Tamandua tetradactyla: one gene and its partners. The protein of the gene in region 1 interacts with the protein of each later gene in a biochemical or structural test. Links are inferred from orthologs where the notes say so. Each region holds a gene or a part of one and is shown on either strand. Other genes may lie near its edges.

Region 1 (7,246 bases):
TGGATTTAAAATTACTTTGCCAGGTCTGCCAGGAAAGGCTGTGCCATGGTCATTCCCTGTGGTGCTGGGGGAAGGGTCCCCATCCTGCGGCAGGGGGGCCCTGCACCGACTGCAGCCAGGAATTTGCACCATGGGCTGGGCTTCACCCAACTCCTACTTCAGTCCCGGTGGCAGTCCGGCAGGCTGGGCACACACATCACCCCCACTTGGCAGGCGGAGACACTGAGAGGTAAGTGATGGCCCTTGACCACATTGCCAGGCTGCGGCCGAGCTTTCAGGCTGCAGACTCTGCTCTCTCCCACGACCTGCTCACCGAGCTGTCCCCAGGAGGGAACTAGAACAGCTTCCTGCCTTCAGAGTCCTGCACTGGGTTTCAAAGGCTGAAGCCGGAAAGGGGTTCCTTCCCATCTTTGTTCTGGCCGGGTGTCGTGGTGACCAGGGGTGGGGCCTGGTAGGCGGGTACCAGAACAAGGATGCTTGGGTTGGCAGCTACGTTCACCAACTCGCCACGCCACACCACGCTGGCCTGGCAAGTCCAGGTTGCCCTCCTGCCCGCGGATGCTCTGGGGGAGCAGGTGTGGGGCTGCTGTGAGCTGTGGCCTTGGTTGGGTGACTTAGCCTCTCCAGCCTCAATTTCCCCACCTGACAAGTGGGGTGGGAGAGGGTGAAACGAGAACCTGTGCACCTGCTGTGTACCAGGCACTGTGCTGAGGGCCTGGGAGCTCCTGAGAGATGGGAGTGTAGGTGCCAGGGTGAGAAAAATGGGAACGGAGCCTGCCTGTGTGTGTCTGGGGGGGTGTGTGCTTCGCAGGCATTGGGCCTGGGGGTGTGTTCTAGAAGGTCCGTTGAACCCATGGGTGCCATGTTGGCCCCTGAAAGAATGGTCTGGGACAGGGAGTCTCCATGCAGGGACCCCGGATGCAGAAACGGCCGGCTCAGTGCAGCAAAGAGGCCAGGGTGGAGGAGGGCGTGAGCGTGGGGCTGGGATGGAGGGGAGGCAGAGTGGCCAGGGCTTCTCGGGCCACTGGAAGAAGATGAACTTGTGTTTGACTGTGTTGGAAGCCTGGGGTGGGTTTGAGGCAGGAGTGTGGTATGATCTGGCTTGCACTTTGCAAAGACCTCCCTGGCTCTGGGTGGAGAACCTCTGTGCAGGGCCAGGAGACCGGGTGGTGGTTGCCATCGCCCGCGAGACTTGGCCTAAGAGGGTTGGGATGGAGCAGGGGGAACGGGTGGGCACAGAGGATTCACTGAGAGAGATGGGCTGTAGGGCTTAAGGAAAGGGGGGGGCAGCCTCGGGAGGTAGGTCTGTCCTGCCTCACGAAACACTGTGGGCCGTTCCACCTGGAAGTCCTTTGTGAAGTGGCACCCATTCCCCCAGGAGAGGCTCTGGGAAGGAGGGGGAGGGTGGGAGGGCATGTTAGGCTCCAGAAGCCAGCGTCTTCTCTGCTGTTTTTGAAGGAAGGGCTTATGTTGGAAGGCACTTTTGTTGTTACCCTGGTGACCAGATGGTTCTAGAATGCTGGGGGAAGAGGAGGCACCCCCTGGCTTTCTGTCCCATGTCCTGCATGTTTATGGACTTTCTCGGGGTGGTGATGGTCCCTGACTCATACCCAGAGTTGGGAATGCTTGTGTGGCCATCCGTGGTTCAGTGAGCACTCGCTATGTCCCAGGCGCTGTCTCCTCCCATCCTCACTGCACCCCATTTACAGATGAGAAAACCGAGGCCCACAGTGATATGAGGCCCTGTCCCCAGGTGCATACCGCTGGTGATGGCAGGCCATCTGCTGCAGGGTGGAGCAGACAGGAAAAGCTGCCGGCAAGGAGGAGAATTCTAGGGGACCCAGAGGGTCCCAGAATGCAGGCGGTTTCCCATTCCACTTTGAAAACGCAGTTGGGCTGACCCAGTTGCTTTGGAACTTCTTGGTACAAGTGGGAAGTTACCAAAAAAATCACAAGATAAATATTTGCTTGTTACAAAAGACTGAAATTCAAATCACATGGAAGATTATAAAACTGAAAGTGATATTGACCCCTTTCCCACTTTTACTCCACGGACAACCGCCCTCCAGGGCTTAGAGTATCACCTCGGAGCCTTTTCCGTGCAGGGCAGAAGGCGTGCACATGCATGAAACCCCCCCAGACTGAAGGACACGGTCCATTCTGTGCTTGGCATTTTGCTTTTGGCAGCATGACTTGGATCGCTGCCCAGGCTGGTTCCAGTGTTTATTGAGCCCACTTGCTGCCGATGGACATTTAGGTCACAAACAGATTTTCGTCTGGAAAGTCCAGCCACGAGGAAGGGCAGTCTTTGCCAATACAATCAGTGTGTTCCAGTGCGGAGCCCCCCCACATGGGATGGATTGCCCCGGCCCCCTGCCCTTGGGTTGCTGATATTGTAGTCGGAGATGACAGGTAGAGAGGCAGTGACCCAGTGAAATCCCAGCTAGTGGGCAGCATTGGGTGGAGAAACTGCGGCCAGCAGGCCTCTCTGAGGAGGTGACACTGAGTTGAGTGGGCTTGGGGACAGTTGTTCCAGGCTGTCTGTCCCCTCTGCAGGGGAACAATACCTGCAAAGACCCCGAGCCAGGAGGGGTTTGACCTCCTTGCTGTTCCTGGACCACCAGGGCTGCTGGGGGAGAGTGAGGAGGGGGAGAGGCCCAGGGCAGAAGGTGGTGGGGTAGACTTTGGAGCCTGCGAGTGTTGTGAGCAGGGGAGGGACAGGGCCTGACTCACATCTTATTGAGTTTTGCTTTGATTTCTGAGGGGTGAATGCGTTATATTGGGCGCTGAGGTAAGAACTTTGGAAAGCCTTCCGACTACTCTAAGGCGGATGGCATTGTCCCATTTAACAGATGCAGAAGCTGAGGTCGGAGCTGTGATCTGGGCCAGCCCAGATGATCCTAGAAAGGGAATGGCGGGACCTGGGTTCCATCTGGAGTGTGGAGGGCCCCAGAGCCATAGCCATTCATTGCCATAGGCTACATCCTTCTTTGCTCCTCCTGGCTGAGACAGGAGCTCAAGGGCGGGGCTCTCTGTGGAGGGATTCCTGTGCAGGGAGGAACCCATAGGTGTGGGGGTACGGGGGTGGAGCAGTGTCACAAGTGCAAATGGGACAGCCCAGTGGGCCCTGACCTGCACTCTGATGGGGAGTGGGGGTGGGGGCAGGGCCAGACCTTAGCTCCGTGAAAAATGAATCAGCTGGAAGATGCCAGTTAGGAAGATGTCACTTGAGACGGGTGGTAGTGAGGGAGGGTGTTTCATATTGGGGGTAGGGAGGAGGCAGCCGGTCATGCAGATGCTGCAGGAAGAGGGTTCCATCCTGAGGGTACCGCTGTGCAAAGGCCCTGAGGTAGGACTTTGCTTGGTGTTTGCGGAGCCTGGTGTGGTGAGACTGGAGGGAGTGAGAATTGGGGAGAGTGAGAGGAGGGGACGGGGCAGGTAGAGCAGCACATGATGGGCTTTTGCTCCAGATGAGATGGGAGAAATGGAGGGTTCTCAGCAGGGGAGGCCCGCCCCCCCCCCCCCTCAGGGCTTCACAGGTACTCGCTAGCTGCTGTGGGGCTGGGTGCCTGGGAGCTATGACTGTGTGGGTCCAGGCAAGCGATGATGGCAGCGATGGGGCCTGGGCTTTGGGTGATGGCTTTGTTTGTGGGGACAGTAGGCAGTTCAGGCTTGGTTTGCAGGTGGAACAGCAGGACCTGCTGTGGCTGGGGTGAGGGGTGGGAGGCACCCTGGGTCTCCAGCCTGTGTCAGGTTGTGCCCATCCTGCCTGCGCCTGGGTGGCCACGAGGGTGGGAGATGCTTGTCCTGGAGCTGCTGGACCCTAAGGCCTGGATTCCTGCAGAAAGGTGCTGGGAGGGTTGGGGTCTCAGGGGTGCATGACTGGAAGACCAGGCTCAGGAGGCTGAGCTTTGACCGCTACTCCTGTTCTAGCAAAACCAGAAAGGAGGCCCCTGGGGAGGCGGCGGGGGGAGTCAGCCTCGCTGATATCTCACCCATGTTCTCATCCCAGCTCTGTCCCTTCCCTACGAGTTTCCTGGGGAGGCCCTGGCCCTCTGAGCCTGGTTGACCCATCTGTGAAATGGGGCGGGGGGGGCGGCGTGTGATCCTGGCATCACCCCCTTGGGATTGCTTGAGGATTTCCTGCGCCATTGCCCAGTAAGGGGTTAGAACCCGGCCAGGTGGGCGGCCTGTGCCCTGAGTGGACTTCTCCCGTGGCTGTAGCTGTGCAGAGAGCAGAGCAGGCCATAGTAATGCCCCGTTATGCCCCCTCCCCCGGGCCCCAGCCCAGCCCCTTGGCTGGGTGTGTCCCACTGACTCATTCCTGGTTTCCTTATCTGTTTGTTTTCCCTCTCCTGGAAAGGGCATCCCCACCCTCCTGGGGACTAGAAGTCAAAGGCTCTTCGTGGGGCTTTGCCCTCTGTTCCACACAGCAACTAGACAGCCTCTGCTCTGCCTGCGGTGCCCCCTCCTGGCCGTCCTGGCCTCCCAGCAGGGAGAGCAGACCCATTTTACAGAGCAGGTAAGCTGAGGCTCCGAGAGGGCAACATAGCCCTCACCGGGTCACCCAGCCAGCTGGGCTCCCTGCAGGGATGGGCAGCGTCCTCCTGTCCCTCAGGCAGAGGTGGCAGAGCTGGTCTTGACCTGGCTGCCTGATTCCTGAGCCTGTGTTCATCCTGCTCATGCCCCAGCCACCTCCTGAGCACCTGCTACCTGCCAGCCTCGTCCTGGGAGCTGGGAATCCAGCCATGCCTGTCCCCAGGTGAGGGCCCATTGGAGGCCCTGCTGGTGGGCGTGGGGAAGGGGCCTGCACTTGGGAGAGAGGACTGCAATCCACTATATCTGTGCCTGAGCAGAGACAGGCAGGGCCTGTGGGGAAGGGTTTCCTGGCAGTGGGAAGAGCCCCTGCAAAGGCTTAGAGGCCAGAAGGAGGGCACAGAGACGTAGGGGGCAGGGGGCAGGATTGTGGGTGGTGTGGGCAGGGTGGGGCTGAGGATGAGGGAAGTGGTCAGAGCATGACTGGTCGTGTGGCCTTGTGGGGGCGGGCTGAGGGAAGAGACCTGGAGGCAAGGAGGCTGGGCCTTTTGGTTCAGAAAATAATGTGGAAGGAATCCTCCAGGCTGAAATGATTATAGTGAACACTTACTGAGTGCCTGCTGTGTGCTTGGCCTGTGTTCTGGGTCCTAGTACCCAAATGGGGGGGCGGGGTGCAGACAAGAGCATGCTCGTGCTGCGGAGGGAGTGGAGGGCAGAGAGGGGATTAGAACTGGGACCAGTCCAAGCAGCCCTCTGCCCACTGGGTCTGCCCTTCCTCACCTCCACAGGAGGTGGAGTGGCCCTGTCTGGTGCCCCAGAAACAGACAGGAGAGGCAGAGAGGCCAGCCAAGGTCGTGGAGCCAAGAGGCTGCCCTCTCAGGCAACCTGGCTGCTGTTTGGAAGGAGGTGAGGGGCTGGCCACTCCTGTCCCAGGAGGGTCCTAGGTAACCTCTGGGGCTGGGGGGCAGGGAAGAGGAAGCAGATGGCCAAGGCCTGACCGTGGCCTCCAGATAAGTGGACAGTCAGGGTTCTAGGCAGAGCTGCTTGGGGGGCAGCTTCCTCCCACGCCGGAAGCCCCAGGGTGCGCGCTCTTCTGCCCAGGCCTCTCTGGGCCCCTCGGTCCAGCTGTCCCCTCAGCTCCCCTCCCTGCCGCCACCCCCAGCCCCCCCAGACGGCCTCTCCTGCCTGGCCCCAGCGCTCTCTGGCTTTTCTTGGGCACCACCCGCATGCTTCTGGTCCTCCAAGGCTCCGATTGTCTGTTGTTCTTTGCTGGACTTTGGTGACTTCTGTGGCATCACCATTGTCCCCACGGTGCCTGGCACCACGGCCGGGCCCAGAGCAGTCACAGTGCAGCCCGTGCAGACGCCGGCTGTGCAAAGCCTCGTTGGTCTGGACAGCAGCCCGCGTCTCCCACCCAGCTGCTGGTGGCCCGAGGGGTCAGGTCCGGGGCCTCAGCTGCCCCCGGGAGATGGAGTTAACATCCGGGTCCTGGGGATTTTCGTCAAGGCCAAATGGGCCGACCCGCAGAAGGTTCTCTGCCCTGGGCCTGGCCCAGCGTGTGCTCCCTAGCTGTTGGTTGTGCTTTTTAATGTCATTTTATCTTTTCTTCTTTTGCTTTCGCTATTCTTTTTTAAAGTAATGTTTTGGACTCAGTAATCCACATGCATGCCGCAGAAAGATGTTTGAGAATGTGCAGTGAATCTCCGAGACCCGCATTGACAGGCTTTCGAGTTCTTCACACCTGAGCTGTTATTATTGGGTAACTAATAAGATTATAATCCATGGACAGATTTAACAGTGTGTTCATTTTTTATATTTTTATCTCCACAAGCATGTCCTCCTGAATTTGTTAGCGTTTGTGACCTTCTATTAAGAGTTTAACTTAGATGCAGTAAATCTCATAAATCTGAAGTACACACCTTGGTGGTGGTGGTGTTTTATGAATGAATTCTCATAACTACCAGACAGATCAAGGTAGAGAACTGTCATTGCGGAAAGTTTCCTTTGCGGTCATTTCCCCCAGGGGATCCGCTGCTCTGATTTCTATCACCTTAGACTAGTTTTGCCTGTTAAAGTCTGAGGCCACCCACCATGACTCAGCAAGAGAAACAAGGGCACATGGCCCTAGAAGGGTGCACGCAGGCATGTTCACAGCAGCTTCATTGGTAATGCCCAGAGCAGACAAGCTCAATAAAGCAGGGGCCCCCATGTGATGGACCCCAGTACCTGGCAGGGCACTTGGGACACAGATGCCATCTGGAGGGAGCAAGTGAAGCTGCCTTGGGCCAAGTAACGGTGCCCACCTCCTCGTTGTCTCCGCTGCAGGGACCCCCCATTCTCCAGATTGCCTGCGACTTGTGCCGCCTTGGTCCGTTTCTTCCTAACCCCCATGCCTGCTCACTGCCACAGTGCCTTCTTGGCTCCTCCTGCCCCGTTGCGCCCATCACACTGTGTGCGTCTGTGTCCCCAGTACCTCCACCCAGTCTGGAGGGAACGAGTGTGTGACCGTAGTCTGCCAAATGGGAATGATGGGCCAACTCCGAGTGTCAGCGTCAGATGCAGCACTTGTACCCTGAGCTCTCGGGAGCACACATGACCCGTTGCACTCGGGGTATGGGGGTCTGGCTGTGCCGCCCCTTGGGGCTTGCGTGGATTCTCCAGGCTGTCTCTGCCTTTGCTCAGTTCCTCTCCCGGTCTTCTCCTTCTGGTC
Region 2 (7,141 bases), on another chromosome or scaffold:
AAGGTGGCAAACCTTGGTTTTACTGTGATGTCCGTCCTTCACTCCTTTCTTTACTCAACAGGAATTTAAATGAGTTACTCCAGGCACTCTGCTAGGAAGCAGAGATACTTGGTGAGCCAGACAGTCTCTGACCTTCCGAAAGGTGTATTACAGGAACACTACCAAGATGGCAATCACAGTCAAAAGGTTTCTACTCGCAGCCTAAGGTATATAACTTATTCTGGCACGTTATACACTTCAGAACATGGTTCTAAGTGTCCTAAAAAACCAAATAAAATTTAGGAGGTGTTCAGTGAGGATGGGATGCAACGCCAATAGCTCTCCAACTTCACCATACAAGAAAAATTCCTGGAGAACTTGTTGAAAATACTGATTCCAGGGCCCTACTCCCAGGTAGGCTGATTCTGAGCTCAGGACAGAAACCTGTTTTGTTTTAACACATACCTGAGTTAACGCTGAGGTAAGTAAGCTGAGAGGTCCAGACACTGAGAAATTCAAACAGTTAAGTGAGTAAGAAGGGATTGATCATTTAGAAGAAACAAAAAGCTTAAGAAAGCTCTACAATAGTGGAATGTGAGCTGTCCTCAGTAATATAATGTTCTATAATTCACAAATTTAGTAAATTAAGAAGACAGGTAAGAGTAGAGGAATTTACCAGCACCTCCTCCTTAATCTCTTACAGATTTGAGTTTCTCAAACTAAGCATCTGGGGAAACAGTAAGCTTAGCAGAAATCTACCAATATTAGAGATAAGTATTAAGAAAAAGGAAATTCCTAGTGAACTGCAAAAAAAAAAAATGCTGAGTGACAAACATTTCATGGAACTAACTTATTAGTACTCATTTTATGCCCTATTTCACAATGCTTAGTATCTGAACAATCCACAGGGTTCCAAAGTACATTAAAAATGTGTTCATTTCCTCTTACTCAGGCAGAATGATAATAGAGTCTTGTGAAGGTACCACGTGCCTTAGCAATTTCTATCAGAAATGCCCATTCCTGGAGCTACTTAAAGGAATTTGAAATAATTTTAATGCCATCACCAAATTAGTGTCCCTCATTTATTAACTTAGATTACTTTAAAATTCCTGGGTTCTTTGCAAACCTTCATGCAGAAAGAGTTCTTCAATACTTAAAAAAAAAAAGTTTTTATTTATAAGCAATCACCCATCGAAACAACCTAAATATTTCAAGTAAAAAAAAAATTAAACATAGTATTTGTTCTCAGAGATGGAATAATTTTGAGATGCCTTTAAGCTTCTGCACTATCAACTTTAAAGTCATCTAAAAATAAAAACCCAACAAATACATTTACCATTATTTTAGGGGTTAAGAGTAGCACCACGCAAAGCAGTTGACCTGCTGGGACCCTGGCCCACTTCTAGCCCTCAGACCCTGTCCTCTACAAAACCCATAATAAGATCTCTGAGCCTGTTTCTTCATAGGTTCAACCGGATTAGTAAAACTGCCTCCCTGCTACATCTTCCAGATGGCATGTGTTTGTTATTGTACTTGTTTTTTATTATCTGTAGCTTTTATTATACTTGCTTTTAAATCAATACTTTTTGACCACGAAAGTAGTAAGAGCAGGATGCCAACAGATGGGCACAAAGAAACGCAAGTCTGCATACATTTAAATTTTCAGGTGGATGCTGCTTTCAGAATAGCACCGATGACGGCAAAGTTTTTAAGAAAACTTTCATATTTGAGGCAATCAAAAATCTCCACCGCCTCATACTCAATTACAGAAACCGCTAATCTATTTCTTCAAAAGCAAAGCTTTCTTCAGCGTCTGAATCACGACAAAAGATGCCCGTAGGAAATGCAATCTACGAAGTTATCTTCTCATCCAAAGACAGAGCGAAGGAAGGTACAGCCTCTTCCTCGTTGGTTTCCTTTTCCTGGGGACTCTAATTACATTTCCTCGTTTAGTTCAGGCAAGAAAAGACCGCAGTCGTGCCTTAGAGGTCACACCATAAGACCCTGTCTGTGCGTAAAGGAGGGAAGGCGAAGTGGCACTGGAAAGGGAGCTGATTTTGGTTAAATACCATCAGTCAGCCCAGGCAGGGAGGCTTGGGGCCAAACGGCATTGACTGCCCTTCAATGACAGGGATTCTGCAGGCGCACGAGGCAGGAGGAGAAGGCATGAGCCGACGGCGCGAGGCCGGAGAGGCGGTGAGAGAGGCGGGCAGCAAGATACCGTTCCCCGTGCGTCCCGCTTCCCCGGGAGGCTGGCGGGGAGGTGAGGCTCCGCCAACCCGCCACACTCCGGCGGCCGAGGGCAGCGAGGTCAGCCCTGGAAGGACCCACCGCCCCCGACGCCCCTCAAGGACGGAGGTCGCTCGCCGGCCAGGGCTGAGGGCGCCCACTCCCCGCGAAGTCCGTCCCGCGGCCGCCACCCCCACGGGTCCCCGGCGCCGGTCAGCCGGCCGCCCCGCCGCGGCCCCAGGGAGGACCGGGAAGAACTAGGCGGAGCACGGCCGGCGCCGCACCTCCCCAGCGCGCGGCAGAGGGCGAAGGGTGGCCGGCAGGAACGCGCGCCGGCCGTGGGTAGGGCGCCCCGGGCGGCCATCGCGCCGACCCCCGCCGCCGCCTCCCGCGGTCCAGGCCGCCGCAGTCCAGCCCGCTCCTCACCTCATCTCCAGGCGGGTCCGCGCTGCCGCCCTGGGGACAAATCAGTGCAGCTCACCCGCAGCGCGGATGGACTCAGGAGCCACAACCCCGCACAACATCCCCGCCCGCCCGCCTGCCGATCCGTGCGTCCCGGAGCCCGCACGGGATTCTCCCTAGCGAGCCGCCGTACTACGGAGCAACCAAGCTGCGATCCCTCCTCCCTTCGCTCCTCTGCTCCTCTCCCTCCTTTGCTCCTTCGCTCCTTCGCTCCCTCCCTCGCCCCCGCCTATCTCTTCTTCTCCGTCGGCCTCACCCCCCCACCTATCTACCCACCCACATCTCCGCCCATAGGTGGGCGGGGACATCTAGCCTACCAATCATAAGAAGGGGTCCTCCCCTCTTCACGCTCCCTATCGCTAGCCCCGCCCGCCACGGGAGCGAAAGGTGGGGGAGCCGGGAAACTGGAAAAGGTAGGAGCGACAGCCGAATAAACCAATCAGCATTCTCAAATGGGGCGGGCGTAGGATTCTCTTTCGTCCCGCCCCCTCCACGAAGGCGTAACTGGAGGCTTCTGGTCCGGGCATTTACTGTCGACATTTATGGAGATTTTTGTGCTTCTGTCCGTTGCCGTTCGAAACACTAGATAGGGTGTATCCAACTAACTTAATTACAGAAGGCTTTAAAGGGGAGAAAATTATGGCGACAAAAGGGAGGCAAGGCACAATTTGAGGAAGGCTCTAGGAGATACGATTGGAATGAGGAAGGGTGTGGTCTTTCGATTTAAATTTGCATAAAATGGAACTCGTTGAGGCGACCACAACTCACGAGCTGAGCATACCGGGAATTGTAGTTCCCAGTTCGGTTGCTAGGGCGTTCTGGACAGCCTTCGGGAGTCCGGCTCAGCCCCGTAGGAGTGACGAACGAGGTGGCCAATAGGAACAGCGCCTTGGTCCAAAGGTGCGGCCTGTCTGCGAAAGCCCTGGAAGGTGGCTGTGGCGAAGGCGCAGGCGGTTGGGGCGGCTTAGAGGCAGGTGAGTCCCGGGAAACGCTCTGTGTCGGCTTGGAAATCGGGGTTTTGGTAAAAGGTCGAGAGGCGCAGCGCGGAACCGTCAGCTCCGGGAGGACGGTGATTCACGTCGCGGCCCAGCCTCAGACCCGCTTACGTCCAGGCCTAGCTAATAAGCTAAGGCCGCAGAGGGGCGGGTAGGGCTTGATTGATTTCACGGGCAATTTCCTGGCCCTTCACAGGTTACTAATTGCAGGTTTTATTTCACTTTGCATTTCCCTCCCCTCTTCTGGACGCAGAGGCCTGGATGTTCCATTTGTCTCGCAGATTGGATGTTTCCCCTCTATTTTTTTTGTTCATTTAATTTTTCTTTTCTTTTTTTTCCCCCCCGCCCCTACTGCTTCTCTCCCTCCGCTTGCTCTCTTATTCGCTAAACAGTTACCAGAGCGTATTTCCATTTATGTGGTTAAAAGGCCGCCCTTGCCCACTTCTTTAAGGTAAACAGCTGATGCTTAAAAATCGCCGGAGGACCTTGTTAAGGTACAAGTACTGGTTCTGTAGGTCGGGAGCGGATCCGAGAGTCTGCTTTTCTACCAAGCGCCCAGGGGCCGCCGTTCCACATTAGGTTCTCCATCAGTTTTGTCCAGTACAGATAGATATAATGCGAGCCACTTAGGTAATTTTAAATTTTCTAGTGGCCACATTAAAAAAAAAAGTATAAAGAAACACATGAAATAAATTTTAATAATATATTATTCATTTAAGTCAACATGCCCAAAATACAATTTCAACTCGTAATCGATGTTAAAACTTATTGAGATGTTTTGCTTTAATTTACTTTCCTACTAAGTCTTAAAAATCCGGTGTATCTTTTACACTTAACAGCACGTCTCAATTCCAGTTGAACACATTTCAGGTGTTCAGTAGCCAGCCACGTGTGGCTATTGACTACTGTGATTGGATAGCAGAGGTGCAGATGATATAATAGCAACTGAAAAGGTCAGGTTGCACTTGACCAAACCCTTTGCTGATGAGATGGATGGGTTCAGAACTACCTTGAGGTTCTCTGCCCAATTTACAGAAATAATAGTGAAATAACGAACATTTATTGAATGCTTATTTTATGCCAGGTATTGTACTGAGGGCCTTGCATGTATTGTGTAATGCACACAGCAACCCACTGAGGTAACTACTATTATTATTCCTTTTTATACATGGGGAAACTAGGGCCCAACAAGATTAAAAGAAGGTAGCCTAGGGTCAAATCTAGTTAGTAGGGGAGCCAGGATTCAAACTTCAGTCATTTAATAATTTCTTCATCCTATCTACCTACCCCTGCAGTATATAATTATTACCTTTTGCTGCTAATCTTACTTCATTGCTCTAGCTTATTATGGGAGGGATTCAGATGTTTGTATTTTCAGTGGAGTGGACTCCCCCCTACAAAATCAAGCTGCCTGTCAGGTGCAGTGAAATATTTTGGTAGTTTCACAACTTTGCATGCTGTGCATTTGAAAGCAAAGTTAGTTGCTTGGGCCCCTGGCCCAGGAATGAGTCTTGATTAATTTGTGTATCGCCTTGAAGAAGGAGGTGGGGCCGCTGAACCTGGGAATTCTAAAAATGCTCTTAATGGAATCACAGTGATTTTATTTTTGAACTCTGTTCTTTTAAAAATTGGTTAAAAAGTAAATTTCTTGTCCTTAGCCTGTGATCTTCATGAAGACTATTTTCAGAGACATTAGAAAAGTTATTTGTGCTCTTTCTAGACCCAGTGAACAGTACTCCCTTGAACTAAGAGTTTTTTGAGTAGAGGAGCAAGAATAGACACATGTATCCACCCATAATAAACTACAGTATTTTGCAAAATAATTTTCTATTTTTTATACATTATAATAAATGATACATCTTCTATGGAATTATTTTCTGTTGATTTTGCAGTTATTGTGAATATTCAACTGAACGTAAATCATATTTTGCACCTGAAGCAAGATTTGTTTCCGCAATATTTTATTGTGAATTGGAAAATTAAATAATACAGTCTGCTGTAATGTTAGCAGCTGAAGGGAGAGAAGTTTGGTGACAAATAGGAAGGATCCCTCAATTGCTTGTCACCCTCAACACCACCACACTCCACCTATAATGTCCCTGTGTTACATGAGTAAAACAGAAAGAGAAAACTGTCCCTCCTACTGTCATTCCCCAATGATAGCATACGGGAATATATGGTACTGAGTAATGTAATGTAAGAGAAAGTTAAGTTTCTGTTGTTCTGGATCATAAAATGTTAAATGGCCCTACAGTGAACACTAGTAACCTGACCATTTTATGATTACAAACTGGATAAAAGGACCATCCCACCACCTCTCCACCCACCTCCGATTGCACCGCATCCCCAGAGCTGCTGGCAGGAGAGTGCCTCATGTAAGAAATCCTAGATTCCAAGTGAAAATGTGTTTTATACATGAACAGATAATAAAAGTAAAAACAGTTATTGTGGGGAAGGGATTAAAGTCATGAATTTTCTGCTATTTTTAAGGGGCCACTAAGTACATGCTGGGAACCGCCATTGCACAGAGAAAAAGAATTTGACATCCTTTCTAAGCAGTTGCCTGTTTTCCTTCTGCCTAAAGCTCATATCAAAAAGAATATTTTTCCTTTTCTGCTTTTTCACCCTTTCATCCATTTTTGTATCAGGTTGCATAAAAATATAGGTTATGCCACATGTGTATCCATTCAGTCAAATATATCTTAATGTTCATAAGAACCTAGATTGCCATAATTAGAAGAGACCTTAATGGTCCTCTCAGCACCCTCTCCCCCTCAACTGATGCTTGAATCCCCTTTAAGAAGCCTCCATAAGTGCTTACCCAGGCTCTGTTTAAGTCCTTCCTGAAATAGACCACTCTAGAGTTCAGTTAGATACAAGCGAGACAGGGTCCCCTGTGCCATTTTGTAACAGCAGTGCAATTGTATGCAGCAAAACAATATCACCTTGGGTCACTGCTTGTACAGTCTCCTTAGAGTTTACAGATTTCTAAAGACAGAAAAGTTTCCTACACCAGGCTCAGAAGTTTTCCGGCAGTTAAGACTATTCCCCTCCCTCTTTGATTTAAGTAACAGAGTTGGCATATCTAGTTAGGGTGACCATTCTCTACAGCCTGCAAAGTGTTACTTGAACCAAACCTCCTCTTTGTTGATTTTGATTATGCTGACCATATTTTTTAACCAAATATTTGGACAGATATCTTTTTCTGATTTGTGGATATATATGAAAAATCTCACAGGTTAATTAAAACATTGTTCAAACTTAATATTGTCACCTCTTCCCAAGTGATCAAAATATAAGTGAAAATTTCACCCTAAAACTCTAACGAGTATCATGCTGTTCACCAGTCCTAAGGTGGGATGGGGAATAGAGCATTGGAGATGCAGCTGGCCAGAGCCTGAACTGATGACCTGAGTGGATGGGGTAACATTTCGGAGTTAACTCCGTTTGTTTTTCTGTAGCTTATTTGCTTGACA
Region 3 (6,864 bases), on another chromosome or scaffold:
ATATATTTCCAGGCTAAAAGGCCAATAAAATTTATTTGGTAAAAGCATATTTTCACCTCCAAATAGTAGAGATCTGGAAAATAATTATTAGCAACAAAGTAGGAATAATCACTTTAAATGAAAAGAGAACAGTTGTGACATGTCTTAATTAGAGATTTAAAATTAGTTATGCAAACACTGCAGGTATGCTGCTTTATTAATACAAATACCACCTCTCACTAACATAAGGAAATAACTCGTTAAGAGAAAGGTCTGCCTAATGAGGGGCTTCCACTTATAAATAGAGGCTCTAGTCGAACATGTCCAGTGTTTTCTTAAAAAATAAATGTCAATTCTCAGAAGAAAACAGTTTCAAGTCTTAAGGCCTCCTTTGCAGATGAAATGAGGTTTACGGAATTTCATACAAAAAGTGGCTACGAAAGTAGGACATAGACATTTCCCCTACTATCCCCATAATGTGCAAAAATTAGCACCGACTTTACACACCCTTCAAAATACAAATATACGCACACCAAAAGCAAACTTTGCCTTGGGCTTTCTAAGATTCTGCTACCCTAGGGTATGGACAAAAAAACTGTGCGTTCTTTCCCTTGAAAATGAAAAGTTTTTCAATAAAAAGAAAATGATGCAACTAACTCTGCATCTGATATGATAAATAATAATCCAATTCTATAACAAGCAAAGCTCCAAACATCTAAGAAGTTCTTTTGTAAGTCGATTCAAATTTTTATTCTAACTTTAAAGCTATACTTCAGAATTTAGCTGAATTTGAACCATTTGATTATTTCTGTTAAGTTAGCACAATAAAAATTCCTGTTTCAATAATTTCCTCATTATTTTCATTTTCTCATTAATAAAATAAAAAATCATATTTTATACTAATAAAATCACTTACTGTTAATAGCTATCATTTACTGAACACTTTTTATGTGTGGTCTATAAACTCTTTTATCCTTACATCAACTCAAGGAAATCCTCATTTCATCAATGACCAATTCAGAAGTTAAATAACTTGCTCAGTATCAGAGATAACCAAAGTGGGATTCAAACCTTAGCCTTTCCCACTCCAAAGCCAAGGTTCCTCATTACCTCTTTTTAGGCACCAAGCTTTGCAAAGGAAAACCATAGAATCAACATAAAGATGGATGTGGTGTTGGTAAATGCAGTGCTGAGGTTCATTTTAGAGAAGTGGCTGGTATCTGAAATAAAAAGTCAGTGACATCAAAGAAGCCTTGCCTAGGAATTTACAGGCAGCGTATATACTGTTTCTGTGCACCAGAAATAATTTTTTATTAGAGAAGTTGTAGTATTACAGAAAATGCATAAAATACAGAGTTCCCATAATACCTCACTATTATTAATACCTTGCATTAATGTGATACCTGTTACAATTCAAGAAAGATTTTTATAATTGTACTATAGGCCATCATTTACATTAGTGTTGACACCTGAAAGAATTTGAAGTATAAGGTTGTTAGAGGTCTCCCAAAATATAACAATGCTCTTACATTTAAAACATGTCTGACAGAGAGCTCACAGAAAGCTTCAATCTGAAAAGCAAAATAATTATGTTAATGGATATTTTCCCAATATAGTCTTATTTCCCAGATTTCCCAAACTGATGGATATAACGAGCTGATTCTACAAAGTCAAGCCTACTGTGACAGAGATGGCAGGCACACACGCACAAAAACACAAACCCAAGTTGACTTTCATGCATCTGTCACCCTAACTTAATCAAGGTTCTACAAAACTCATCCTCAACATTTCTGGACGTGCTTTATAATAGGGTTGCCATTGCCGCTGCCTGGGGAAAACCTCATTTCTTCTAAAAAAAATTATGGTAAAGCTAATAATGGCTAAGTTACAAAAAATACATAAGGTTAAATTGTGGGAAATATTTAAAGATAAAGTTCTTAACCAAAGGTCCCTTTGACTGAATTTGTTTCAGAAGAATAAGGAAAAAAAGGTAATCATACACATTATATAAGAAAGAGGTCACATCAAAAGCATTCACTTATAATTCCTAGGTAACATCCTTCATCTTAGCCCAATGAGTTTTAATAAACTTAGAACCTGAATTAAATAAATTTCATTACAATCACAGCTTATTAGCCCCACAGAGGAAAACAAGCACATTCAAGACGTAAAAAAACTCACTAATAACAATACTTTAAAAATACATCATTTTAAGACTTCAATAATCTTAATGCAAAACGCAGGGTAAATTGTAGTCAAGCACACTGCTGGTCAAGCTTGGGCCTCCAAGGAGTTTCACGACTGAGTTTTCCAGAGAGAAGTTAACACAAGAACTTGCCATTCCTCTGGAGACAGAAAACGACGTGGAAGGAGGGATTCAGGGACCTCTGGGGAAGAGCGCGGACCGCGGGCATCTCGGCAGCCGTCCTCAGTGCCGGGCAGTCGCCCACGCCAACACATCGCGGGGCAGCCGGGCGCACCCACACCGCAAGGTCAGTGGGAAACAGGCGACTTTACATAATCTCCCGCCGCGCCTCCGAGCACCTGCGCGCCGCGGCGGCGGGGTAACCGCGGCCCCCTCCCCTCCCCCGCGTGGCTGCGGGGGCGGCGCACCAAGGCGGTAGCCCGAGACCCCGCGGGCGCCCGCAGAGTCCCGCCAGGGTGGGGGTGGGGAGCAGGGGGAGGGGGAAGCGGGGGCGAGAAGGGCTCCTAGCCGCGGGATGTTCGGCGGCCACCGCCGCGGAGGGCACTGCGGACCGCGGCCGGAGCAGGCTCAGCGCCGGGCCGACGACGTCCCCACAGTTCCGCCAGGCGGCGAGCGCCGAGCGCGCCCTTCGCAGCTCCGCCCGGGACCGCCCCGCGACACACCTGTCAAGCGCCTTACCTGAGTGGCTTTGTGGAACTGCTTCTTGAGCCCGGCCACCGACATGGTGCGGGAGGACGTCCGCGCAGCTGCGGGAAGGAAACGGCGACGGTGGAACTAGGCAGGAAAGCCGAGCGGGGCGGCGCGCTCGCTGGGCCGCCGCTAGTCCGCCGCCGCCAGGGCTGTGGGCGCGGGGGCGCGGAGCGGCGCGGGACGCGGGCTCGTGCGGAGAGACACCCTGACGTCAGGGGCGGGTGATGCGGCTTCTTAAGGGGGACGCGGGAAGCCCCGCCCCGGGAGCGGGGTTGGGCGGGCAGGTGCTGCGGCTCTCGGTACCTGGGCCCTGGCGCCCGCCGCGGGGATCTGGGGTCGCGGGACCTGCGGGCCGACTGCGTGGTCAGAGGGCAGGGGACGCTGTTCTCCCGCCTTGGAGGATGGCGTTCGTCACCCCGCGGACGGTAGACAGGTAGCCGCAACTAGGCAGCGCAGGCAGAGATTCTTTTCAGTTCCTTGCTGGGCTTTCAGGTAGCCGCTGCGGCGCTGCCTGCCTCCTGCCCTCCTGCCCTTTGAACCTGGTCTCTGCAACCTGGAAAGGAGTGATAAGTCATTGCTCCTTCTCGCTTTGCCCCGCGGGATTGGTCACAGAAAAATTTCAATATCCCCTAAGCCTACATCCACGTGAAGGGAAATCACCAATGTCATCTTGGTATGAATCAATGTAATGACTTAAGAAACAATTTTAAAAACAACAACTGTAAAGCTGGCCAGGTAAATAGAATTGAATTGGGGTATTACTACAGTAATAACATTTAATCCTCTGTGTACAAAAATTTAAAAGCCTGAGTATAATCTTGCCGTCCTTGCAATTGTGGGAATGGATTTAGGGTTTTCAATCTAAAATAAGCAGTATATAATGTGGAAAAGCATGATACTATACTGTACAAATATATATGTAACAAAATATGTATGCCTGGGCAAAGCAAAACTGATGGAATTTCATGAATTGGGAGCGGAGAAGCACAAATACCTTTTGTGTTCTGGTAATTAACCCCTCTCTCTGTTTTTTTCTGGAACTAAGGAGCTTATAGGAAATCATTTTAATGCTGGCTCTATATGGATGTCCAACTAATAGAGAGGACAAGCCAGAGAGATGCTATAAAAGGGGACCCCTGAGAGAAATTGCCAAGGATGAGTAAGGAGATAACATAGCAGGCTAGGAGTCCTAGAAACACCATTAACTGCCTCCACAGCCCTTGCTGTATTGTAGGAAGCTCATATCTATCCAGAGCTACCTTCTACACACAGCTGCTTGAGCACAAGCCGGGCATCTGACACAAGGGCATCCTCTTCATTGCTGGGCTACCAGTCATAGTTCTTCTTGACACTGGAACCTGAAACTCATGAAGGCAGAGTCAAGCAGATAGTGGTGGATACTGGAGCAGTAAGAGCACGTGTACTCTTGACCCAGTTTGCAGAGAGAAGCAGAAGAAAGAAACAGATCTCAGGGTGGGTGGTAGCCTTTACTTACATGCATGTACCTTCCAAGTACATGAAACAATTGCACTTTCCAAATCCCTTCTGGTTAGGTTGGGCACTGTGACAGGTGTTGATTTGTGGGTTAGGAGGGAAAGTGACTGTCACTTCTTAGCAGGAAATTTATGAGAGCAGTCATAGTTCTCTTTTTCTCTGCAACAATATTCCAAATAGTTAACCAGTCTAGATAATCAAGATCCAGAGTGAGGATAAAGAAGGGCAGAGTACCCAGCTCATGCTCACTGGATATTTAGCATGAGTGAGGAAAATTAAAAAAAAAAACAAAACAACAAAGAAAAAACACTTGTAGTTTTAATCCACTGAGTCTAGGGTTATTAGGCATTGCTTCAAAATTAGTCTATCCTGACTGCTGCACTGAGAAAGAATACTTTTCCATAGGCAGTGGTGGGAGAATTTCCAGGTTCTCCCATGGCCTGGGTGTATCTTAATTTTTGTTCTTAGGTGTCCGTGGGGTTGCCAGTTTCATTCTTACAAAATGTCTCACTAAGTTTGGATAGATGCATTCTCTTTCCTGCAGCCAAGGATACCCTCAATGAAGTGGTGGGCAGACTCAGCCCCAGGGCCTGAGTATCAGGAGGAGTTGAGGCACAAGGTACATGAGCTGACGGTACCTTGACCCCTTAGCCCACATTTTCCTTACTGGCTGCACAAGAATAGTAAGCTCTGGCAATCCACAAGGAATTCTAAGGGAGTATCAGGGCAAGGGATGATCTGGTCCAGAGAAACTCTAGACAGGGAAAGATTTAAGTCCTTCCTGTAGACAGGTGGAGTTACTGATCATTGAAATCCCAGACAAACTTAAGGTGACCTTGCTGAGGCCCAAGAGATGATATGCCTAGGGAACATATACTTACATATATAAATAAGATTCACCTTGGTGATTCTTAGATTCTTGACATTAGTAAACACAGCAAGACTTGGTCTAACTACATAGATAAGTAGGTGGTGCTCTCAGCTAGAGATTTGAGGGTTACTCTTATGATGGCTGTATTAGTACTCTACATGTTGGTGAGGACTGCCTACATTCACACACACACACTCCTTAAATAGGCTACCAAGAAATGCCAAATTGCCAAAAGTGATTGAGCTAATAGAGCAGTAGTTTTCAAACTTGAGAGTACATCAGAATTCCTTGGAGGGCTTGTCAAAGTGTGCTGGGTCACTTCCCCAGAGTTTCTGATTCATTATGTCTAGTGTGGGCCCAAGAATTTACCTTTTTAACAAGTTCCAAGATGATGCTGATACTCTAGTCTGGAAACCACACTTGGAGAACCACTCAGGGAAAGTAGGGATCTTAAGAGTGAATTTTTGCTGTTTTCTCCCCCCCCCCCCCCCAAATCCTTAAAGGTTTTCCCATTACTTGCATAATAGAAAAAATATTTTATAGTTAATTTTTCCTAAATGGTCCCAGATCTGTATAATGGAACATATTCATAAAAGGGTCGGCCTAAGTTAGAGCTGCCCAGAATAAAGCAATTCAAAAGTGGAGGAGCCTGGGATTTATGAACTCTGGTCTTTAACTGTGGAAAGTTTGAAATGGGGATCTGCAGAGTCTCCCCAGACTGAATACTGACCTGGAAACTAAATTAAAGACAAGTCTCTGTCTTTCCCTGTTTCTTCATCCACAAACTTAGAAGTCTTATCCTGTTATACTTCAAAGAAGCTACCCTAGGAGAAGGGACTAATTAAAGCCTTTAAATCCTTTTGAAACCCTGCCTAACTCTCCAAAGTATCCTCTGGATCTCATCTAATTCCAGTATTTCTATGGAAGACACAATTTATAATTAATACGTACCTTTGAGATGTTATCTTTGAAAGAGATTTATTAAGCTCCTCCGACTGGCAGTCATCACAGTAGGAGGTGTTGGAGGATGGTAAGGGAACACCCCAAGATATATAGACAGGACGTTGAACCATAAGAAGTTTCCAGAGCTGTAATTGTGGACACCTTTCTTACGGACATTTATTGTGACTTAAATACTGAGGAACAAATGCACCAGACAATAAAAATTCCTAAACATGGGTGCTCTTTTCTTTGATTGCAAAGAAGCTGTGACAGAGGCTCTAAGGAGAAATCCAAAAGTACAATATGGGGAAAGGAAATCAAAGGTCAATGAGGAAGAAATTTGTTTGATAAAGGTTGTTGTAATTCAATACACTGCCATATAATCTTTTTAGATAAAAATCAATGGACAATAAACCTAGATCCACTCAAGAAAGCCCTAATTAAATGAAACTCCTATACAGCACTGCCTCACTAACTGGACAGTAAATTCATGGTCAGCAGTAATTCCATCACATCATTCATGCACTACTTCTCCTTGCATTATGCCAGATCTTCTGGCAAATACCAGACTTCTAGTTTGCACAGAGATACTGCATCCTGGCACTTCTCTGAGGGTCCTGAGTTCCTAGAAGACAGGAAATACACCAGCCTTAAGCTTTCTGCCCCTCAATCCCTGCCACCA
Region 4 (7,290 bases), on another chromosome or scaffold:
CTCTTTCAGAGTGCAGAAGAAGGGACTGAGGCAAGAAAACTCAACACTCATTCTTGTAATAACCGTCTATCAAGAGACTCCTCTGTGCCAGTCACTGAAAATTCAAAGGTAAGCAGAGTGCCAGCCAGCCTCCTGGGGCTTACAGTATCCTAAAGGAGAAAGCCATTACCATAGAAAAATTGTAAAACTGCAGTCAAGACAAGATCTTTAAGATGAAGTACAGGAATTATGTGAAACCAGCTAGGGGTCAGGGTGGTCAGTAAAGTCAGGAACTTTAAGTGCACACCATATGATTGAGTTGAAATATTAACCGTCTAAGGTTTCTAATAGACGTTAAGACTAAAACACACTCATTAGCCTTTCACCATACTTGTTAAAAGAGACATGATTGGACTCAGAGTGGTATTCACGGAATTCACCATTCCCCAGAATAAGGATTAAGAGCAAAGAAACAAAGAGCAGATAACTTGTAAAATATGCAGTAAATGATTAACTTTCTTCAGCAGTAAAGAATTGCCCAATTGAAATTTTTATCTCCTTTTTACTATTGTGAATCTACCAGTGGAGTTTTTAAAAATTCTGACAGTTTAAAGATAATTGTATCTTCAAGAAAACACATAAAAACAATAAATAAGAAAATTATATCTGAAAAGAACAGAAATAATTCTCTGGGAAAAAGTCAAAGGGAAACCCAGCACTAATATATCCAGATGTTGAATTTATATGTTCTCACTTAATGCCTGTGTAGCCGAAGCCTAAGTGCCAAATGAACCTAAAATTTTGTCAAAAGTTAATCATTACTACTTACCAGGCATATCCTCTCCAGCCATAACCCCACTCCCACCCCCATTAAAGAATGAGAAGGGAAAAAACCCGAACTCCTCCAACGTGGGGGCCCCCAAACACGACTTCACTCTCAGGCGCTGAAAAATGGGACTTTGTTTTGACACAAGAATCACCAGGAAGTAGGAAAACCAGAAAACTGAGGAAGGATCCTTTTTTAATAAGCGCCTTTCTTTTCAAACCTACAATATACATATTTGCTGTTCTTTTTCTTAGAATGGAAATGGTTTGTCACATGCAGATGAGAGTGATTAGGGCGGTAAAAGAAACTAGAGCCAGAATTACTGTAATTTGCCTTAGGAGTACTGTAGATAATAAAGCAGGAAGTGTTGATTCAAGTTTTAAGGCTTCTATTTCATGAGTACACACGCAATTCAAATTTAGTTACAAGAATCAGTGTTCTTTTCAATGGTGCTCAAACTTAAAATTCAGGCTCAAGTATAAAATAAAATTTTCATTATGTATACCTGCAATAGTTGCTAAGCTGGATTCCACTTAAAAGGAAGTTCACGTAACATGCATCAGATCAGTCAGTGTGGAAAATACCACAACATTATGACCACCACCGAATAGATCTGTCATAACCAGAGCTTATAAAGTGGCAAGATGAGTGTTAAAGAGGATGTGTAACTAGTAATTTCTGGAATGTTTGATAACAGACCTCAAAGGCAAATCCTTAGAAATCCTAAACTCGAGTTAAGTTTTGCCTTTATACAGGTCAACACGAAATTAATGAGTCAAAAACATAGTAAGTCCTATCACATCTATTAAGACCGAGGAACAAAAGTAGTCGGTAATACATTAACAAGATAATTATTTTAGTTACAACAGACAGCACGTTTGCTGGTGGTGAATATTCATCTTTCTATATATTCCTACAGGAATCCAGAACACGAAATTTAACAGACTGGTATGAAATCAGACAATTCTGATTCCTCAAAGAGATGTCAAATATTTTATCACTTTTCTAAGTATACCTCTCCCCCAAATAAAACCCAAACCAAAAAAAAAGAGGCTTTTACCAATTACAGAAGGAGTTTAAGAGATTTCAAAAGGAATACCGAAAGCGTGCTGATTTTATAGCTGACATTATAACAACAATCTGCAAAAGTAAATCCATTCTCCATACTAGTCACGTTCAATATCTCACCTACCTAGGAGCCTTCTACCCTAAGTCCTCATTCAGGGAAAATGGCTTTACCTGCCATATTTGCCCATCAAGAAATTACTGAAAAACAACCCCAAGAATCGGGAGCCAGGGGAGGGTGGCTTTTGTTGACTCAGTTGTAAAAATGCGACTACTAATTTCACAAATACACTAAAATAAGCAAACTAATACCCATGGTCAATTAGCAAGCGCAAGTCAAAGTTCCACCACGTAATTCGGGCCTGGGCCTTTTTTCACGCAAATGCGTTATCAAAAGCCCAGTCATTTCCCTCTATGTTTTATTCATGTTGGAAAGACCATTCAAACTGAAAATGTAGCCAAACAAAAGAAAATTAAAACACAAAAACAAAAACAAAAGGGCGTTGAAGTACGGAGTGTTTCATTTTAGTGTTTCCTCCCAGGTAGCAAGCTTTCCCAGGCCTGAGAGTAAAATAGCAACTCCCCGCTGCGCGGCTTCGGGGACCCCCGACCCCCCACCTCCGCCCCTCGTGCTGCGGGTCCCACTCTTGGGGCAGGGAGATGAAACGCGCTCCTCTCCGCTTCTGCCTGCGAAATAGCGCGACGGGGAAGTGAAATTGTTAAGTCCCACGACTGAGCCGTGCGCCGAGGGAACTGCCCGGGCTCGGGAATTCTCCAGTCCTCCTTCCCTCAGCGCTGCCCGCCCGGCCCGAAACACCCGCAGACGGAAACTTTGCGAAGGACGACGCGCTAGGGCCGGGGCGACCCGGACCCTCCTCAGCTTGGGTCCCGCCTGCGCCCCTGCTGCGCGCCCGGAGCGGACCCCGCGCGCACCCCTACTCCGCAACCCCGCCCGCCCGCCCCGCGGAACCGAGCCGTGGCGCGGCCTCTCTGTCTCCCCCGCGGTCCCCGACCCAAACCCGCGCCTCGCTCCCCTCACCTTAGTGGCCATGGCGGGCGGGTCTCCCGGCCCGGGACGGCCCGGCTTTTCTCCCGCGTCGCGGTTGCGCGGCCCTTGCCAGACAGGCGAGGACGGCGGCGGCTCCGGCTGGGCCCCGACGCGGCGCGGGCGGCGGCTCTGCCTCGGCCGGGAGTCTTGACGCTCAGGCCCCGCCGCTCGGTGACTCCGGCCGCCGCCCGCTCCGGCAGATCCTGAAACGCCGCGGCTGTCGGTTCACCGCGGTGCGGCGCAGCGCGGTCGGCGGAAGCGCGCCCGGTGCCCTCAGCTGCGGCCCGGCCTCCTCGCCCACTTTTCCGCCCCCGCCCGGAGCCTCCCCGCCCCGGCGGCCGCCGCCGCCGCCGCTTCGGGCGCCCTTTGTTCGGGCCCCCGGGGGCCGCTTCCCCGACTCGGGGCTGGGGTGGGCGGTGCAGGCCGCGGGCCCTGCCCGCGCTCCGCATGATCGCCACGCATTGAACGTGGCGTAGAGTAAACGTGGTGTAGTAAAGATGTGCTTTGGCGTCTCGACCCTGGCCAATGGAGCCAGGAACAGACCTTGAGTCACACCCGGGTGGGTTTAAGGTGGACGTGAGCGAGGCAGGAGTGTTGCCATAATAACCACATAAGCCCCCCAGGGCAGGGTGGGAGTTACCCCGGGTCTTTGTTCCGGGTCGGCATTGCTCTGGGGTCGGTAGTGCTCAGAGCTGAGTAAAATGAATGCTAAGTAAACAGCTAGGGAGGAGAAGGGCAATGGCTACCTTGAGGAGTGGCCCTGATAGGAAGTTCTTCCTCCAGCCTGGAGTTTTACCGCAGGTTCTGGTCCCCTTTAGAGTTTCTAGGCCGAGACACTTGGGGATTGCATTGTGAGATGGCCCATTAACTTCCTTCTTGGTAAATTAAAAACTGTCTAAGCACCCCCAGGGGTTTTGGAGGGACACAACAGGTTACCTGAAGGTCTTATAAAGTTTTCCGTTTTCTAGGGGGAGAGTCAAAATGGTTTTCTTCGGAGTTGGATTCACTCAAGTACAGAACACATGACTGAAAAATAAATCTTGATTGGAATAATACATTCTTCTAATCTGAAATATTTTGTTTTCATTATCAGGGGTATATATGATAAAATCAACTTTATTAGGCTAGGAAAGCAATATTTAGAGTTACTGTCAAATGTGTGTCCTCTTGAGAATATTCTATTTAACCTCCAGAGGAGATTCCATTTAGTTATAGTAAATAATGGGGTTTTAAATGTGTATAGTGCTACAGAATTTTCAGTGGAATTTGTGTTTGCTGAGCTCAGGGCCAAAGTTGTAGTTATGGTAATGTTCATAAATGGAGACTAACATTCATGAAAAGCTTCCTTGCTATAGCTAGGCTTTTATATGCCTTAATCTCATTTAATGCTTATAGGGAACTATTGAGCAAGTCATCGTTCACTACTAACATATATGAGGAAGAAATCAAGCCTCAGTTAGAGAGCTTGCCCTTTCTGATTATACCTGTCAAAATAGAAAATGACCATAACCTTGGATCCAGCAATTCTACATCTAGGAATTTATCCTCCCATCAAACTTGCACAAGTGAGCAAGATAATGAACTAAACATTGTTGTGTAATAATCCCAAATAGAAAGCAACATATATGTTTGTTAATAAGAGTGCATTAATATGACTCATCCACACAAATGAGGTACAAGAACAGCCCTTAACAGTATTTTAAGGGTGTTAATAAAGGTAAAAAGAACATTATACATAGTATAATCCATTTGTATAAAAACATGGATGTTGTTTATGCCTAGAAAATTTCTGAAAAGATTCATAAGATGCTATTAGTTGTCAGAATGTTACCATGTATATGGATTACTTTACACTGAAAACAAATTTACATTTGAATAAACAAATATATAGCTTAACTAAGCACATACTAATATATGGCAAAGTCAGGATGTGAACTCAGATGATATTGTGAGTAATGACTACCGTTGTCTTTTTTTGTTGTTATTTTTGTTTGTTTGCTTCTTTTTTTTTTTTTTTTACCATAGTCCTTTAAATTTGAAAGCAGGATACAACTCCCTGTAGCAGTTCTACAATGCATGTTTTGATAGCAAAGTATAACCTCAGTGTGCCATGAATGTAGACCTTTCAGCATGCTCAATTGGGAGGTCTGGGCACCTGCCACCAAGAAAGCAGGAAGACCAGAGCGTCCAAGCTTTTCCCACTTGAACGTTTTCTATAGACCTGACTTCATTCTTAGAAGAAACCACGGATATCCCAAACTCATGATGACCGATGCAAATTAATGCACATATTAAAATAAGATTGAAATCACTCCCAGTATTACTGAGGTAGTAAAACCACCTAGGCATCGTTTTAGAGGTTCCAGAAGTACAGTCATTGCTGTCGTCTTTGGATGAACTTGCTCTCAAAGCCCATCTCACAGCTTCTGGAGCCCTCTGCTTCAACCTCATTGACCTCTCATTCCTCCTGAGCAACGTGCTTCCTTGCACAGAGAGGACCAAGACAGATTTCACAGACATTCAGCCTGTGCAGTCGCACAGAATCCTGTGCTTAGATGATTCCTGGCTTCGTTTAATGCCGCCTTTCACTATCTTCCATATCTTAATAGTTAAGTAAAATAAAATGCATTGTGCACTGCGTGAGGAACCCCTGCAGGAGCTTTCCAAAAAATGAAACAATGGAGTGCACCCTACAGAACTGCAGATAAGCAACACCTGCTGAGAAAAACAGGTCCAGGAGAGAGAGCTTACAATCTGATAAGTATTGACAAATATACTATGCTAATCAATGCATATCTGTACCCCCTTTGTGAGACCACCCAATATAAAATGGAAACTTAACATCAGCCAATCAGAACATATCCCCACTTGCTTCCACCTTTTGCTCTGTATAAGCTCCACCTTTCTACCTCTTAGGGGAACTCATTCCCTTCTTTCTGGATGAGATGCTGCCTGATTCATAAATCGTTCAATAAATCCATGAGATCCTAAATTTAATGTTGTTGTAAAGTTTTTCTTTTATCATAGGCTTTGAACAAGGGGCCTCACATTTCATTTTGCACTGGGCCCCAAAAATCATATAACAGATCCTGGCAAGGGCATTATACTGTTTCTTTGTTTGAACTAGTCCCCCTCTTCCTACCCTGTCCCCCACCCCCACCTCCCATTTATCCTTTAGAATGTGGCTAAAGTGTCAGCAGTTACCTCAGTTACTCAGGGAAATCATACCCGATCTCAGTATAAGTTAACTTCTTATATAGTTAACTTATAAGAAGGATATAAGGTACATAGTACTGGTTTCCTTGTAGTTGGAAACTTATCTCAGTTTGTAATTCAAGTGATTATTTGCCTGTCTCCTCCACCAGACTGTAAGTTTAAGAGAAGAGGATCCGTGTCAGTTCTCTTACCATGGTATCTCCAAACTCTAGGACAACACTCACAGCAAATCACCACTGAGTATTTGTTAAATGAATGAATAAATGAATAAGAGGAGTTGAGCAATCACAAATTAAGCAATATAGCATTGCCAAAATATACTCTCAAGGAACTCACATGATTCTGTGGAACACAGTTTTAAATCTACTGTCTATATTATTACCTAATTTAGTATGAAACATTGCACAAGTTTTTCCAAGTTTCACTACTCAATATTTTTTTTTTAATTCTCGATAGAAGCGATACTCTATGAAATTTTATAAAGCAAATTGATTTTGGCAATGTATATGAAAATGTAATTGCTACATTTTACTAATATTTCCTGGACAACTAGTGCCCAATATATTATTAAAAATGCAGTAAATAGAGGTTTTAACTCTTTTCACAATCCCTTCAGTATGGCTTATCATTGAGGTACGCATGTTTCTCTCTGGTGTACTTGCCAGTTGTTGGTTGGCATTTGTCTTGGATGTAATTGCCAAATTACATTATAATAAAGGTCCAATCCCCCCAATTATAGGCACAGAAACGAGGTCAAGGAGGTTCAGTGATTTACCCAAGGCCACATATTAATCCAGGGCAGGGACAAGAGCCCACTCTGTATCATGGGTCTCCAAAACATGTCATTTTCAAACTAAAAATATTTTAGGTGAGAGGTTTTGAAGCAAGGTGCAAGAAGGCCTCAAGAGATCACTGTCAAAACGGGAGAAGGGCTCTGGTCTAAACTATGCTGGGAGCTACTACTCAGTTTCACCTGTCTGCACTGAAAGAACAGAAGCCTAACATCTTTTCATCACATCCCACAATGTTCAGCTGCCTGGTGGAGCAGTGGCTTCTCCAAACTAGAAAGTAGTCATCATGCTGATGTTCCAGTTTGCTAAAGTTGCTGGAATAGAATATACCAGAAATGGATTGGCTTTCTTTTTTTAATTTTTTT

The links. The genes of interacting proteins can lie anywhere in the genome.
Region 2: the proteins of DNM2 (region 1) and ITSN1 form a complex in vitro, tested with the Homo sapiens proteins (2 studies listed by BioGRID and IntAct, with this or other methods). The link is inferred for Tamandua tetradactyla from reciprocal best matches to the Homo sapiens genes DNM2 and ITSN1.
Region 3: the proteins of DNM2 (region 1) and SH3GL2 interact in a biophysical measurement, tested with the Homo sapiens proteins (2 studies listed by BioGRID and IntAct, with this or other methods). The link is inferred for Tamandua tetradactyla from reciprocal best matches to the Homo sapiens genes DNM2 and SH3GL2.
Region 4: the proteins of DNM2 (region 1) and SNX9 form a complex in vitro, tested with the Homo sapiens proteins (2 studies listed by BioGRID and IntAct, with this or other methods). The link is inferred for Tamandua tetradactyla from reciprocal best matches to the Homo sapiens genes DNM2 and SNX9.

What each region holds. Positions count from the first base shown.
Region 1 is NC_135337.1:91,083,675-91,090,920, reverse strand, and holds the start of DNM2 (dynamin-2), read left to right. Parts: upstream 1-4,238; 5' UTR 4,239-4,253; coding exon 4,254-4,522; intron 4,523-7,246. UniProt on the Homo sapiens protein: Catalyzes the hydrolysis of GTP and utilizes this energy to mediate vesicle scission at plasma membrane during endocytosis and filament remodeling at many actin structures during organization of the actin cytoskeleton.
Region 2 is NC_135336.1:94,021,254-94,028,394, reverse strand, and holds the start of ITSN1 (intersectin-1), read right to left. Parts: upstream 3,024-7,141; 5' UTR 2,635-3,023; intron 1-2,634. UniProt on the Homo sapiens protein: Adapter protein that provides a link between the endocytic membrane traffic and the actin assembly machinery. Acts as a guanine nucleotide exchange factor (GEF) for CDC42, and thereby stimulates actin nucleation mediated by WASL and the ARP2/3 complex.
Region 3 is NC_135328.1:79,631,766-79,638,629, forward strand, and holds the start of SH3GL2 (endophilin-A1), read right to left. Parts: upstream 3,024-6,864; 5' UTR 2,909-3,023; coding exon 2,864-2,908; intron 1-2,863. UniProt on the Homo sapiens protein: Implicated in synaptic vesicle endocytosis. May recruit other proteins to membranes with high curvature. Required for BDNF-dependent dendrite outgrowth.
Region 4 is NC_135328.1:150,460,081-150,467,370, reverse strand, and holds the start of SNX9 (sorting nexin-9), read right to left. Parts: upstream 3,024-7,290; 5' UTR 2,922-3,023; coding exon 2,910-2,921; intron 2,722-2,909; exon of another isoform or gene 851-2,721; coding exon of another isoform or gene 809-850; intron 1-808. UniProt on the Homo sapiens protein: Involved in endocytosis and intracellular vesicle trafficking, both during interphase and at the end of mitosis. Required for efficient progress through mitosis and cytokinesis. Required for normal formation of the cleavage furrow at the end of mitosis.